Linked DNA regions of Saccharomyces cerevisiae S288C. The gene in region 1 interacts genetically with each later gene. Each region holds a gene or a part of one and is shown on either strand. Other genes may lie near its edges.

Evidence for each region. A genetic interaction does not mean that the proteins touch.
Region 2: mutations in EMI1 (region 1) and CRD1 together harm fitness more than expected from each alone (negative genetic interaction), as found in Saccharomyces cerevisiae (3 studies listed by BioGRID).

The regions. Positions count from the first base shown.
Region 1 is NC_001136.10:1,470,000-1,481,732, reverse strand, and holds EMI1 (Emi1p), read left to right. Parts: upstream 1-10,669; coding exon 10,670-11,233; downstream 11,234-11,733. Other genes in the region: URC2 (Urc2p), read left to right, coding at 1-648; peptidylprolyl isomerase family protein FPR2, read right to left, coding at 901-1,308; protein disulfide isomerase EUG1, read right to left, coding at 1,572-3,125; GRH1 (Grh1p), read right to left, coding at 3,376-4,494; EMI2 (putative glucokinase), read left to right, coding at 5,257-6,759; SLF1 (Slf1p), read right to left, coding at 6,961-8,304; YDR514C (uncharacterized protein), read left to right, coding at 8,734-10,185; dithiol glutaredoxin GRX2, read right to left, coding at 10,285-10,716; SDH7 (Sdh7p), read right to left, coding at 11,315-11,716. UniProt on the Saccharomyces cerevisiae protein: Involved in sporulation. Required for the full activation of the early meiotic inducer IME1.
Region 2 is NC_001136.10:200,010-205,096, reverse strand, and holds CRD1 (cardiolipin synthase), read left to right. Parts: upstream 1-2,526; coding exon 2,527-3,378; downstream 3,379-5,087. Other genes in the region: biotin--[acetyl-CoA-carboxylase] ligase BPL1, read right to left, coding at 1-2,058; chaperonin-containing T-complex subunit CCT4, read right to left, coding at 3,515-5,087. UniProt on the Saccharomyces cerevisiae protein: Catalyzes the synthesis of cardiolipin (CL) (diphosphatidylglycerol) by specifically transferring a phosphatidyl group from CDP-diacylglycerol to phosphatidylglycerol (PG).

The DNA of each region.
Region 1 (11,733 bases):
TATCATATCATGATATGTCGCACTTTTATCACAGAATTTTCTTCCACGCTAAAAAGCAACCAAAGGTTTTTGAAACTAATTCTTAATACGATGAAAGAACATTCATTTTCGCTGTTGAATGGGTTTTTGAGACTACCGCCAACGTTAATAAGGGGTGCTCCGATTTTTACTTGTCATCAACTAGTCTACGCCTGTTTAACTCTTTGTGACTATCTTTATTGGTTCGATTCTTCTGAACGTCAACGCGTTTTGAGTCTTTGTACAAAAGTGTACTGGCATTTGAGCACTATAGGGGAAAAAATGAATGAGGCTACTGATAACGTTGGAAAAATCATAAAATCTATAATTGATACTAGTAAGACTCGTATTAATTTTGGCAGTTTGTCAAAAGAGAATAGTGATAATGATAAAATGTCGACTAATGCTAATAACTACACAGGAGCAGGAAATCTGCACGCCGCGAAACCCGCTACTTCGCCTACTAATGTTGGTACTTTGCACGAGAACTTGTCCAGTAGTCACTTCATGATTCCTGACGTCGACCAATTCAATTCCTTTGAAGACTTTTTTCAGGATTTTTTTGATAGTTTAAAACCAAATTCCCAAAAAATGTTTACCAGCGATAAGAAGACTGAACAAACTACTTAAACTATTTTTATTAAGAGGGAAAAAATTCATACCCAAACTAGATTGAATAACATTTCTTTATATTAATATATTGTAGTTAGAGCCCTTTTATTTTATTTTGCTGCAAACATAATATACACAACCATAATTACATTGAAACTTGACATGATGGCTGGCATCCTCATATGGATATATTTTCAACTATAAAAAAAAGTTTGCCACATACGTACTCCATGCATCTTGTTGCAGATATGTGCCTGAGTGCCAATTTACCTAGGCGGCTGATTTCACGTCTACCAATTCGACATCAAACACCAAATCAGCACTTGGAGGAATGACGCCTGGGACACCTCTTTCTCCGTAGGCCAAAGAACTTGGAATTTGCAGCTTTCTTTTTTCGCCAACGCACATGCCGGCAACACCTTGATCCCAACCTTTAATTACTCTGCCAACGCCAAGTTCAAAAGCGATAGGAGAGCCTCTTGAATAACTTGAGTCAAATACAGTTCCCGATTCTAATAAAGATCCTGTATAATGAACCTTAACTTTATCACCTGGCATTGCCTTAATTAAGCAATCTTCTACCGGTATTCTCTTGATAATACCGATTTCCAAATCTGACAGGGAACCTGCAAGAATGGTGGAAAAAAAAGTGACGAAAAGGTAAATATTAAACATCATCGAGACTCAATTACTGTAAACTAGAATGTGATTGAAAACGAAAGCACTCCTTTTTCTCTTCTTAGGGTTATAGTAATGGGTCTCATATAAACCTGTATTTGAAGATGCGCTGGCAGTAATGCTAAATCTCTTCAAGAGCATAAACGGGTAACTGGTGAGAATAATCGTGATGCCATAAATAACGAATATTAGCTATTTTCTTCCAGAAACGATGCGAGTAATCAGATGTTAAAAATGTGCATTATATATGCTTTATTTATTGATTATAATTCATCATGTACGGTATCTTCAGTAGACACTTCAGAATCCTTGGCCTGGTGCAATTTATCATAAATTGCCTGGCCGTCAATGTGATGTGTACCTGATTCCTTGATAAATTCGAAAACATCTTCCAAATTTCTAATTTTATTGAAGATAATAGGCTTAGAGTTATTTCCGGCAGGATACAAAGCAATGGTTGGATATCCTGTCACAGGAAAACTTAAGATATCATTTGCCCCTGAATCTACTTCGGCGATCAAGATTTTATCGCGAACAGATTCATCAGATGCTAAGACATTTGCAATTTCTTCGTAAATAGGCGCAAACCTTTTACTATGAATACACCATGTCGCGTAATATTTGACAAGGACATCCTTGTCATCATCATGAACAATGTCGTCATGTGTCTTCCCAACTATTTTATAAACATTGGACTTTTGTTCTTTTGGAATCTCTTCTGACTTAACAATTGGCTTGGCAGTACCTTCACGGTAATCTTTTACCAACTGAACGATCATATCTCTGTCTAGTGGTTGTGGTTTTTCTAATTTCGCGTACTCTTCTTCTGGTAGTTGTGGTAAACCATATTTCAGATTATTGATCATATTATGGATAGCAAATAATGGGAACTGTTCTCTCATATTTAGGAATCTAACGTGGTGTGGGAACATTGTAGAGTTTAATGCAATGAAATTTATTTGGCCACGATTTTCCTTACCTAACTGCGTGAAAAGATCAGTGTAATCTTCCAATTCTTCCTCAGAAGTATAAAAGAAGTAAGCCAACGGCAAATTGCTAGAAATGTACTTGGGGAAGAGATCAGGTTCGATGTCGGTAAAGTAAGGTAAAATTACCACTTTTAACCACTGAGTTAGAGCAACGGAATTTCCGACCAAAGAGTCTACATTTCCATCAAACAGAATTGGTTCTGTAGTGTTTGGCAAGTGGATTGATAATGACTTATCTTCTGAATCTAGAAGGGATAAAAAGACGTAATCCTCAGCAAGGTCCAGTGCGACTTCTTGATACGTTTCATTCAAGCCTGTCAAGCCTCTGTTTATTACTACTGGTAAAGTTGCATTTTCCAAGTATGGTTGGATTTCATCTTCGGAATTTAAATAAATGACAGAAGCCTCGTATAGCTGAATCATGTACTGAGTGATTTCATCGGTGATCTTGACACCGCGATAGACTTGACCATCAAAAATACGACCATTTTTAAAGATTTTCAAGGTTGGGTAGGTATTTATAGTTTGTTGCAGGCAAACCATACTGTTAGCCTCACAATCAATTTGAACAACTGGGACGTTATGCTCCTTTAAAATAGAGGCGGCCTCTTCTAAGTGAGGGCGTAAGATCTGAGAATGCAAACACCATGGAGCAAAAAACTCGACGAGGACTAACGGATGAGATTCGATGAATGATTTAAATTTCTTCTCTGTTAGAACGAGTAAATCTGATCCCGGCGTAGCTCTTGCGCTGTTTTCAGCCAACGTGAAAGAAGCAAACAGGCAAAACGAGACTATCGCAGATATAAATCTTGTGGTCACTTGCATGGTATTATATGAGCGGGTGCTTGTTGGGAGATTGCCATATAATTGAAACGTCAAGTCTTGGAAATTGAAACTTTCTGAATGCTAAAATATCTATTGTCTTAACAAAAAAGGACACGCGTGCCTTTGAAAAAAAGTCTCGGTACTTTTCGTACATTGCCAACTATCGTTTACGTGTTTTGAAGGGAAAGCAAGCTTATATATATATATTTAATTTTGCTATGAAACAAAACCAAAAGACTAACCAGGAAAGTTAATCAGAGGATGACTGTTTTTGTGGTGGTGGGGCGAGGATGTCAGATTCTGCTGACTTCGCAGCGGTAGATGACTTATCTCTGCCTTCATTAAAATAGTCATCCATTGCCAATGGCTGGGTACCCTTTTTATTTTTTGATTTCTTCTTTGTTGGCACCGGTGGTGCTGTGAATGCTGATGGCACAAAAGCCGTCTCAGATTCTACTGGAACAGGAACAGGAACAGGGTTGTCATCTTGCCCCTGCTGCTGTGCTTGTTGTGGACAGTGCTTTACTGTTGGAATCCTGTGAAGAAACCCGTATCCAACGTTGCAACCCAACCTGCCGTCGGGACCTATATGAACTGTGATTGGTCTCACACAGTCAGAAACTTTGTTGTAGACATAAAGGACCAGATCGTAGTTTGCTCTTGATCTAACAATATCTTGTAAAAGCGTCTCCCCTCCCGTGGCCAACAGGCCATCTTGGCAGCCGATAATGTAGTCTTCATCTGGGATGAGCCCTGCCGATTGGGCGGGTCCATCTGGGATGTTCACGTTCAGGATATGGTATGTGAAAGTGGAAGCTATCAAAGGCGTCCATTGGACTTTGAACCCGAGTGCTTGGAACTGGTGCGCTTCCCCACTAGATGGCCTCCTCTCGTCATGGTTTAGAGAAACATCGTCCAAATCGTCGCTCTCCTTCGATATAATGCTGATATACTCGTCTCTGAACGTGCCTCCTTTAGCTGACCATATGTTGACCTTCAAAGTTCGGCCACAGTGTTCATTGAAGATGGATGTGATACGACGGTAATCTGGGTACGAAAATCCGTGTTGATTACTGACCACCGGCACCGGATCATCATTGAAACCTACTATATAGTCGAAAAAGGACTGCAGTTGGAACTGCATCTCGTCCACCCAAACAATGCGGAGACCGGAAAGCGTTTCATTGACGTTGGTGTGCTTAACACCTTCAGAAACCGCATCTACGGGTGATTCCAACTGAGCAGACAACAAATTTGGTGGTATAGACTGAAAGAAAGCGTCCAGATTGCTCGAGTCCTGCGAGAGTGCCAGGGTATCTTGCACGCTCTGCTCAAAAGTCCGTACGAGGTTTTTAGCTATTCTAAACATAGTTCTTCTTCCTATACCTTTTTACTTCCCTAGTTTCGCACGCTGTGTCGGTCGCAGTTACAGTAGTAGTCTCAGCACCCCTGTTCTTGGTCCTGATCCCGTTGCGACAAGCCCATTTCTTTTATGATAGCCAAAATGCAACTAAACCTCGTCGTCGTCGGCTTGCGTGTCCGCCGCGAAGACAGAAAAATAACGAAACGAACTTAATAGAAACGACCTAGATTTTATTTGGAAGCCAGCCCGATGCTATCTTCAAAATGGCTGTCACTGGGTGCAAAGGCGGTGGGAGAGCCCATTAAGTAATTTAATCGGGTTGTCTCACCAATGTTAGCCACAACGCAACGCTACGTCGCCACTCTGGCAGCCACCGCAACGAGCAGTAGCAACTACTTTCGGGTGGGCCCTTCAGGGGTAGTTGCCTGCGTCTTTGTTCGAAGAATCAAGTGACAAAAAACGCGGGGCATCCAGAAAGTCTTTTTGTGTGTGTCGTCGAAAGGGAAAGTGAGAGAGTGAGAGTGAATTAGTGTTTGTGTGTGTGGAAGACAGAGGAAGAAGATCGGGTCGTCGAATTCTATTATGCTTGCGATGCAGGGGGGGGAAACATGTATTCGGGATTATATAAAGTCGATTCTGTGTAAGTGTAAAATCTCATCTTGTCTCGTGTTCTTTTGTACGTCTCATACTTATAGGAAGTTTAAATAGAAACAGATATCAGTGTATCAAGGAAGAATTGTACAAGAATCGAATCATAGATACACAGTAATGTCATTTGAAAATTTACATAAAGTCAATGCTGAGGCATTGGAAGATGCAGTGGTTGAGATCTGCTCCTCATTGCAGGTTGATGCAGCAAAGTTGGACGAACTAACAGCGTACTTCATTGAATGTATGGAAAAGGGGTTGAATAACACCTCTGTAGGCGAAGAAAAGACGGTGGACAAGGGTCTACCCATGATCCCTACATATGTAACCAGTTTGCCCAATGGGACGGAACGTGGTGTTTTGCTGGCTGCAGATTTAGGTGGGACTCACTTCAGAGTGTGTTCTGTGACTTTGAATGGTGACGGAACCTTTGATATGCAGCAATTGAAGTCTAAGATTCCGGAAGAATATCTAAATGACAAGGATGTCACCAGCGAGGAGCTGTTTAGCTACCTGGGTCGCCGTACAAGGGCCTTCGTTAGGAAGCATCATCCTGAGTTGTTGAAGTCCACGGGGGAGAACATAAAACCTTTGAAAATGGGATTTACCTTCTCATATCCCGTTGACCAAACCTCTTTGAGTTCCGGTACTTTAATCAGATGGACCAAAAGCTTCAAGATTGAAGACACGGTCGGCAAGGATGTCGTGAGGTTATACCAGGAGCAATTAGACATTCAGGGGCTCTCTATGATTAATGTGGTAGCTTTGACCAACGACACGGTTGGCACTTTCCTATCCCACTGCTACACTTCAGGCTCTCGTCCATCGAGTGCTGGTGAGATTAGCGAGCCTGTCATTGGTTGTATCTTTGGTACTGGTACTAACGGTTGCTATATGGAGGATATTGAAAACATCAAGAAGCTACCAGATGAGCTCAGAACAAGACTGCTGCATGAAGGAAAAACCCAAATGTGCATCAACATCGAATGGGGTTCTTTCGACAATGAATTGAAACATTTGTCTGCTACAAAGTATGACATCGATATTGACCAAAAATTTTCTCCAAATCCAGGTTACCATCTATTTGAAAAAAGAATTTCCGGCATGTACTTGGGTGAGCTGTTAAGGAACATCCTGGTGGACTTGCATGCAAGGGGCTTAATCTTGGGACAGTATCGTAATTACGATCAATTACCTCACCGTTTAAAGACTCCTTTCCAATTGTGCAGTGAAGTTCTTTCCAGGATTGAAATCGATGATTCGACAAACTTGCGTGAAACTGAATTGTCGTTTTTGCAGAGTTTGAGGCTACCGACCACTTTTGAAGAACGTAAAGCAATTCAAAATCTGGTCCGTTCCATTACGAGAAGGTCTGCATATCTAGCAGCCGTTCCGATTGCCGCCATCCTAATCAAGACAAACGCTTTGAACAAAAGATATCACGGTGAGGTAGAAATTGGTTTTGACGGTTATGTCATCGAATACTATCCTGGATTCAGATCCATGCTGAGACATGCTTTGGCATTAAGTCCAATTGGCACTGAGGGTGAACGTAAGATACATTTGCGTCTAGCCAAAGATGGGTCCGGTGTTGGCGCAGCTTTGTGTGCTCTGGTGGCATAAAACATATCTGTTCTTAACAGCTTATTTTTAGTTTGTTTTCGTTTTCCTCTATATAAATATCTTATGTATCTGTTATATAAAAAATTATTTAGTACGAATTGAAATGAAATGTTATGTTATATTTTTAGAGAGAATCTGCTATTACTTTATACATGTTAACTATATACATAATAAAAAAAAAAAAAAAAATATTGTCTAAAATTAATCATTTATTTGTAAGTTTTGTTCAAACTGCCTGCTAATTTCACCTTGGTCATAGCTCTGACTCTTTTTCCCATTTTCATTACTGGGAAAGAAGTTTGGATAGCCCATATAAGAATAATTGTCTAAATCGTTCGGTCCCAATAGTTTCTCAATGTTGTATTTTTCAGTTTCGTCATCATTTTCATCAAAATTACTTTCCATAGCGTATTCAGCCCAATTTTCGCGCCTAATAAAATAGTTTTCCAATGGATTGAAATCATCTGCCATGTTCTTCTGAGCACCTTCTATGCTTCCAAGGGCAATTTCCAAATGGTTTGTTTCTTTATGTTGTAAAACTTCTCTCATAGATGCCAAAATTAAATTTGGGTCTCCACCAAGAGATAAATTAACCATACGGTAAAATTTCCCTATCAAACTCATGGGGATAAATCCGTCATTGGCTTTTTTGAATTTAGATCTTAAAAATTCATCTGTTTTCAAGTTCTCTTCACTAAAATAGAATTCAATTTGGTTTTTGATACTTTCGATAGATTTAAAAATAGGTTCCATTGAGTAATAATATGGTGTTTGCAATTGTTGTTGATAGTTGATGTTATTATAATACTGCTGTTGACGGAAGTATGACAGTTGTTTATAGCTATTTCTTGAATTGTTGTTCAACCAGTGGCTGGCATTGGGAATATATTCAGGTCTAGCCTGATAATTATTTGGGAAGGAGATGGCATTATTAGCCGCCTGACTGTGTCTACTATTGTTGTTGTATCTTGTTTTGCCATTCCTGTTTTGATAATTTCTTGATTGTCTACCGTTGGTTGAATTGTTGTTGTTTGTTATCCTCTTTATATTCCCATTGGCAGTTGCTCCTGAGCTTGAATGTATGTTTACTTTAGCGTTAGCATCTAAAGGTTTGGATTCAAGATTGGAAACGTTACTTATTTCCGATGTACTGTTGGTTTGACCGTTAAAGTCCTTTTTATTGATATCGTTATTATATTTGCCACGCTTTTTCATTTTTTTATTAGTCTTAGAATTTTTAGAGTTCTTTCCTGACTTTGAATTTGTGTCCTTGGAACCTGAGATTATAACAGACGGCGTAATTGGAGTCCATTTGGTATTGCTTGTTAATTTAATTGACCCCGAACCATTTTTACTTGGCTTTGCAGTCTTTGATATATCTCTTAGTTCCTCTACAGGAATTACTGTATTGCTATCTGGCGAAGATGATTTCCATGGCGATGTGGTTGGTATTGGTGCCAACTTTAAGGATGAAGTTTGTTTCTTCTTATCTTCAGCTGCTGAGGATGTATTTTTTGGATTATCATTGAGGTTTTGCGATGACATTTTTGAATTCACTTTATGATTGATTTTCTTTATCTTGGTTATATTTTTGGGCTCTCTCGTTTATTTAACGCCACCCTAAATTGTGTCTTAACAATACGCTTCCTCTCAGTATTTTTTTTTAAATAAAAAAATATGATAGAACTGCTGAACACTACTTTTTAAAACCTTTTAATAAATAGACAAGTGTCAACCAAGGATGTGCCAATTTTCCTTTGTGATTCAGCTGCGCTTGTATGTGCTTCCAGCTTTACTTTTACTAATTTTTTCATAAGCACAAAATAGTAAGATCTTTTTTCTCTTGGCGGTGAAAAATTTTGATTCGATGGATCAATAACATACTGCAAAAAACGGTTTGAGGACATATGAATACTGCATTTACTAGTAATTTGCCTAGTATATAGTTTGACTACACAGATTATAAGCTATTGTATGAGTAGCTCCACAAAGTGCAAGAAAGCATACGAAGCGGTAGTCAAAATGGTTACGCATAGATTCAACTCCAAAGCAGTCCGCAATTACCATCAACCACAAGGTTTAAACAGGAGTCTGGCAACCCGCAATGCAGCTAGAGTTAGGGGTATGGTCCCTTCAAGAAGAGGGGGCGTGGGACTGTATAAGAGTTCAAGTAGCAAGTTGATGAATAAACTAGGAAGACAAAAGACATGGATAAATGAGTTTGAACATTTTAATTCTCTGCACGAAATTGCATATACCCCTAACATTGCGTTAAGTAGTGAAATCCAAAAATATTTAAAGGCATTGGAAACAAACTATCGGTCCATCTATGAGAAAAGTTCAGAATTACTGGATAAGAAGCTGGAAGAAATTGACAAGAAATGGATAGAGAAAAACGGGTGTATACCTGATGCATCTAAAGACGATGTGGAGAAAAATCTAAGAAAGCAATATTTAGCAGATGTACAGGACGTAAAAAACGAACATATACCTGTGATGAATTGTGAACCTGGTGGGTCTCAGTTCAAGTATCTCTGTAAAACTATTGAGTTATTATCATCCAACAAGACAATTTGTTTTGCCATCGATGTAGAGGCATTTGAATTTGATACAGACATTGTTACAGAGATTGGCATCGCCATATATGATCCAAGAGAAAACATTTATTCCTTGATGCCGATTATAAGAAGTTATCATTTAATTGTTGCTGAAGCGTTACCGTTAAGAAACAAGAAATTCGTATGCGACTTTAAAGACTGCTTTTTACTTGGAGAAAGTCTTGTATTACCATTGGAACAATGTGTAGAGTTCATTCAGTCGTTGATTAATTTCTATATGAAATGTGAGACGGACCAAGATACAACCTGGGAAAGAGCGTTTGTGGGTCATGCTATAGCGGGGGATATTAAGTGGCTGAAGAAAATTGGGGTCCATGTACCTGAATTGGATAATGAACTTACCAAACCGGAGGACTCAACGGAGAGCAAAGGTGTTAGAAAACATGTTAAGATGCTTGACACAGAGAAAATTTATAGCATGTGTTATGGCAAGAAGGGTAGCAGTTTAGGTAAACTACTAAGGCTTTTTCACTTGCCACATGCCTTCTTACATAACGCAGGCAATGATGCATATTACACGTTGCTCCTGATGCTGAAGTTAGGAGATTATAACTTTAGAAAGCAAATTGGGGCAGATGATTTAGAAACAATGGGATATAGGATAAGAGAATGGTTTAAGCGTGAGGCGGACGAACCCAAAATTTTGCCAATGTCGTACGTGCTAAGTGTGATGAATGCCAATAATAGCAAACCGAAAGTTGATGATAAGGGAAGAAAGAAGCCGAGGGATCTTGTACCTCAGACGGAATTTAGCGGGTCTCATTGGTTTCAAAATGCACGCGCAGCCTTCAAAAGTACTCTTGTGTGAATCTAGCTAGAAGTTTTGTAGGTATATGTGATTTAAGATATAGATAATAAAAGATATATATATGTAAATATTATGAAGGGGATATTAGCGTAATTTAAACTATTGAAATACCGGCTTCAATATTTCAGCTAACTTGCCATTTTTCTTCAAAGTTTCCAAATCGCTGTTACCACCAATGTGCTTGCCATTGATGTATACGTTAGGTACAGTTTTTTGGCCCGAGATTTCTTCTAAAGCGTCTTGAATCTCTGAGCCATTGCTCATTTCATCTAATTCCAACACAAGGGCCTTGGATTTGGGAACGTTCAATTCTTGGAAGAGGGTAGACAAAGTAGCTTTACAGTAAGGGCAGTATGTCTTTGCTGCAACAAACACTTCCTTTTGGCCAATCAGATCCTTTACGTGAGCAACTGTTTCCTGGGATACCATTTTTGGAGTAGATAAAAATCTTTTAGCAATAATTCTTGTGGCAAACAACGTGATAATGATAATAACAATTAAATTCGAGTCGAAGGAAAAATTGGTCTCCATGAAACAATATATAACAGTAGTTGGAGTGTCCGTTAATCAAGAGGGCACCTTTTCTTGGCGTCCTGGGACTTTTTATATGAAAATTCATGAAGAAAGTGCGGCGGGCCCCTTTGCGAAGGGGGCCGAAATATCGGATCTTAGTAATAGTTCTGCTATTGGATGTGGTATTAGCATAAATCAAGAGGGAGGCGATGGTTCTATTAGGGTAAAAGAGAGCAGCTTGAGGAAGAAACAGGAAAGGATGAGTACAAAATATCCGACAACGATGAGTTGCCGAGAGGCATTTGATCAACTGACGAGTTGCTATTCGATTGGAGGGCAATTTAGAAGCTATTACAGATATGGAGATTTTACATCATGTGACAAGCAGGTGTCCAAATTCAAGTTTTGTATTATCCACGGCAATGACCCTGTGAAAGTGCAGGAATGGTATAAAGATCAGGTTTCCAACAATAAGGCATTGGAAAATACCAGTGGGGTTATATGGCAGGAGAGGGAGACCACTGCAAATAAGTGAGATTTTTAGCTTTTTTTTTTTAGCATGTGTACTATATAGTATATGGATTTCTTATTTACAAGCGCAATAAAAAGACGAACACTAATCCTTGTTGTTCCGCTTCACGTCCTTACTTGATTCTATTTCATTGTCTTGGTGAAGTTTCTGTGTTTCCTTCATCAATTCATACAGTTGAACTGTTTGCTCAGGGGATAGTTTCTCCAGGGTTTCCGAAGATAAAGTGGCATCTTTCCATTTACCGTTGGAAATCATGTGGAGATAATCTTGCCAGGAAGCTAAAAAGCCGACTATATGCAACGGGTTATCGATATCTTTGTGCAACTTGAACTCGTTTCGCACGTATTGGTCACCCATCTCCCTTTGGGGACCAGGTAGCAGCTTATGCTGCCTTAGTATCCTTCTGTAGAGAACCAAAGGTGGAAGTAAAAGCTGGCTGTTATGGGTTGCAAATCTAACCGAACGATATATGAGCTTGTTGTTCATGGTGAATGAAGACGGGA
Region 2 (5,087 bases), 1.3 Mb from region 1:
TTTAGCAATTAAGCTCTTGAAGATATCAAAAGTGTTACCGTCCGGCTGTAAATTATAAACGTTTCCTGTAAATTGAGTGGAACTACCGCTTACCAATTCTTTTGCAATCAGTAAACCGTAGTCTTCCGTGATACCAGTAATCATGGCTTGCGTATTTCCGTGATCTGGTAATGTTACTATTTGGTTACTATGTAACCACAACTCATAATAACTTGGCAATATTTCCGCAGCTCCGTAGTTAATAAACTGTTTTAATATGACCTCAAGGTTATTCATATAGAGTGCCTGCAGCTTTTCTGCCTTTATTGCTGGCAATAAATCAAGGTGTAATTGTTGGCGTTCTTCATTCAGGATATCAATCCAAGTTTGTAATGAAGTTGTAGGACCATCACTAGTCAAATTTATACCACAGCCAAGTAGCAAACAATATTTATTGTTTATGAAGTGGGTATTAACTAATAAACCAGAGATCTTAAGATAAGCGGGCTCGATATCACCTAAGGGCAACTTTGTATGCTCAAAACCGGTGTTAACCAATTTCAAGTTTTTACGCTTATAGTAGGTGGGGCTCAAAGCATAAAGGTCATTGGGCCATTTGATCCTAACAGGAATATCTGAAAATCCAGGAGCGTACGAAAGTATCGCCTTACAGTAAGCAAGCATAGAAAGATACTGGACAAAAACAACTGATATATTTCGATTAGTCACAGGCGATTGAAGCGGCATTGTTACGACGGCCGTTGATGCGCAAACACCTTTAGGATTAATCCAAGTGTTACCACCTCTCCCACGCCCAGAAACCTGAATAGTACCCACGTGAAGTAAAGTGCTTTCAGGGATCGAACTTAATAAGGATTTATTATTATTCAATATGGTACTCGTTGATGTAACAACTTCACCATATAGAAGTAAAGAACCTATGGTGTTTTGAACATTCAGATACTTGAAGTATTCTTTCATGTCAAAATTGGGCGTATATTGAAATGGTGGAATATCTTCATCTACGCCAGGAAATATTACGGTCTTAGGAACCTCATCTGGCTCTTTATGAAGCAAGGACGAACTTGCTGCATCGTAAGAGGCTCTATAGCCTCTATAAAATTGGAAAGAGTCAGTTTCGGCGTTTAATTCTGAGCAGAGTTCAACATTATTTGCATGCATTCCATGATGAGCTAAGTTGTTTTCCATTTCTTGCAAGTAATTCCGCTTATTAGGTGCACTAGCCATAAACAGTGGTGTCAAATTTGGAGCTCTTACATAATTGAAGTCATTATTACAATTCAACCCAGTTTTGGTAAGAACCGTTCTCATAAATTTCAACCTCATGATTTCCTGTGCTTTCAGGTTTTCCACAACGGTTTCAAGAAAATGCTTATCTGTGGATTTCCTCATAAAACGGACGTTGAATTCAGGGTGTGGTCCAGTGAGTAAAACCTTTCCTCTTCCGACCGTACATAGCACTACAGCAGCTGGGTTTTCACTTTGACCTTTTCCTGAGTCAGAAGAAGGCACATCCGGGTGTTCTGCGTACGTGGCCAAGATCTCGACATTATCAAATTTATCTGCATCAACAAAAACGGCTCCTCCATTGAAATAAGTTGAGAACTGTGAGCCATCTGGAAGATTCAATTTAACTGCACGTGCACCGGCCTCGCTGTTATACTGAAATCCATTGTACGCAGGTCCTCTGCTTGTTCCCGGAAAGAATCGCAAATCCCTGCTTCCTGATACTTCCATTGTAGGGTCACCTTGAGCAAATTCTACACGGCTGGTGCCAAAGTAACCTCCTGCACAAAATCCGATAAAGACACCACCTTGTTTGCTAACAAAATGTTTCAATCGAGAAATAATGGGTTGACAAGCTTGAACGTAAGGAAGATCGGCACCACCAGGAAAAACTACAGCGGAGGTCTTTGACATCCATGGTTCTGTCTGTAATACCTTAACATTGACAGTACTGACGGCGTAATAGGGTTCCAAAAAGTCACGTAAACTTTCAACAGCATGCTTAACTGATCCTGGCGTAGTCCCTGGGCCATTATAGACTAATACATTCATATTAGTTGAAATTGGATAATATTGATAAGATCGTTCTAATATCTTCTTTATTGGAACTCTGAACCTGTAACAACCAGTAAAAACCTTGCACTTTTGTATACCAAACAACTTTTGAGAACAATATATTACAGCAAAAGAAAAACTGACGAAGGGAGAAGGAAAGTAAAATATACTTATATGTGCGTTTACCCAACGTTTGGCAAACAATTACAGGAAGAAAAAGCCAAGTCCGTAGCTCTGGGATCTCTTACATGAAACCATATTAAATGTCAACCAACACTTCACAGTCATGTCTTCGAATCATTGTGCGGCGACTATTTCCGAAACTGGAGTGTGAAAAAGCTCGATTCATGAAGCCATCCTCTTAATCGGGAGTATACAATATTTACAATTGAAAAAATATAGAAAGGAGGCAATTGAGAAACAAGCAGGCCTGGTAGCATAGTTTGGTCCCTAATAATTTAGTCAATGATTCAAATGGTGCCCATTTATTCATGCTCCGCATTACTTCGGAGAACTATACCGAAAAGGCCATTCTATCATGTGTTATCAGGGTTAACTGTACGCTTTAAGGTAAACCCGCAATTAAATTACAATCTTTTCAGAGATCTCACTAGGAGGGAATATGCTACCAATCCGAGTAAAACTCCTCATATAAAGAGCAAGTTGCTCAATATTCCCAACATTTTGACTTTATCACGAATAGGATGTACACCCTTTATCGGACTCTTCATTATAACGAATAATTTGACCCCAGCATTAGGTTTGTTTGCATTTTCCAGCATCACTGATTTTATGGATGGGTATATAGCAAGAAAATACGGCCTGAAAACCATTGCAGGAACCATATTAGATCCACTTGCAGATAAACTACTCATGATCACAACAACTTTGGCATTATCTGTACCATCCGGCCCTCAGATTATACCGGTATCTATTGCGGCGATAATTCTGGGTAGAGATGTGCTACTAGCCATAAGTGCTTTGTTTATACGATATAGCACTTTAAAGTTGAAATATCCTGGTCGTGTGGCATGGAATTCCTATTGGGATATTGTTCGCTATCCCAGCGCTGAGGTCAGACCTTCCCAACTATCAAAATGGAACACGTTTTTCCAAATGGTATATCTTGGATCTGGAGTATTATTACTTTTATATGAGAAAGAAGAGGGCTGTGAAAAAACCGAGGAGGATTTCGAAGATAGAAAACAGGACTTTCAAAAGGCCTTTAGCTATTTAGGGTATGTAACCGCCACGACCACAATAATGAGCGGAGTATCCTACGCATTAAAGAGAAACGCTTTTAAACTTTTAAAATAGTATAATTGCGATCCTTTTTGAAAAGGGTCCTGACTTTTCATTTTGAATGTTTTTTAGTTTTTATGTAGTGGAAAATACACTAAATCAACATATATATGTATATATGCATAAACATATGGATACTGGGAAACCCATGTTAACGGCTGAATGCAATATCATCAATACGTAAGATGGATTTAACACATTCAGACGCTAAGGTAATTGCACTTGTACTAACAAGTACGGGTTGTAAGATGTGTTCTTCATAGGTGTTCGTAGTACCAGATCGTCTAACAGAGATACCGTCATTCAATTCACCATTTTCATGCTTAGAGCGCAATTCTGTGACAACTTTGATACTATTCAAACCTGCGTTTTCAGCCAAAGTCGTTGGAATAACTTCCAAAGCAGAGGCAAATTCTTGCCAAATAAAAGCCTGTACACCTTCCATAGACCTTGCTTCCTTACTCAACCTACGGGATATTTCAATTTCTGGAGCACCACCACCAGCGATTAAACCTCTCTCTTTCACTAGACAACGAATAACACATAGTGCATCATGGAGGGAACGCTCTGTTTCATCAATGATCATGTTGTTTGCACCACGAATAACAACAGAGACGGTTGGTCTTGCATTATTGTTTCTTATACCAGTTACTCTAACTATCTTGGAACCATCGCTATCGATCTCCTCAACTAAATCAGCGGAACCCAATCTATCTTCGGTGAACAATTCTATATCAGCAATTGGCTTACAACCCAAGCCCTTCGACAGAAACTCGATTTCTTCTCTCTCGATATCCTTTACCACCATTATGTTCAATTTTGACAAGAAATGAAGAGCCAAATCATTTACCGCATCTCTCAAGATGGATTTCTGAATCAACAGCACGTTACACTTGGCCTTTTTAATTTTTTTACAGATATTTAGCAAATACGCTCTTTCTTCTTTAAGGATCTTATCCATTTGTCTATAGTCATTAACGATGATATTATTTTCTGTGTCGGGCTTTGGAGGAGATATTTGGAATTGAATTAACCCAATCTTTGCTTTTTCCTTTCTTGTCGGACCACCAGCAGATTTGATTGCCGTTTGTGTCAAGACCACACCATCTATCATTTCTGTGTCATCAATGGTACCACCAACTTTTTTGACCAGTCTGATATCGTTCAGGTCAACATTCTTAGAGTTTTCATCAGATATCTTCAATACGGAGTCCACTGCCAAGGGCGCCAAAAACGAAGAGTATTGAGACACAATCTTGGAACTCAAAGAAGTGGATGCAGCACGAACCAGCTGTTCTCTATCGCTCAACGAAACCTTATGGCACATTTCTAAAAGAATATCGACAGATCTCTTCGCAGCACTTTGAAAGGAGTCCGCAATGATGGTTGGATGGATGCCCTTGTTTAACAGCCTCTCAGCAGCACCCAATAGAGCTCCGGTCAAGATCACCACAGAAGTGGTACCATCACCGGCTTCCGAGTCCTGCGCGGCAGAAACCTCTACTAGCATTCTGGCCACCGGATGCAGAATGGCCATCTGTTTTAGAATGGTGTGGCCATCATTAGAGATGATGATTTCTCCACGAGATGTCTTAATCATCTTGTCCATACCCTTGGGACCCAATGAAGTACGGATGGCATCTGCAACAGAACGTGCAGCGATGATGTTGGCTTTGCGAACCTCTTGAGGTTTTTCCTTGTTCTTAAACGTGGCGTTAGATGGA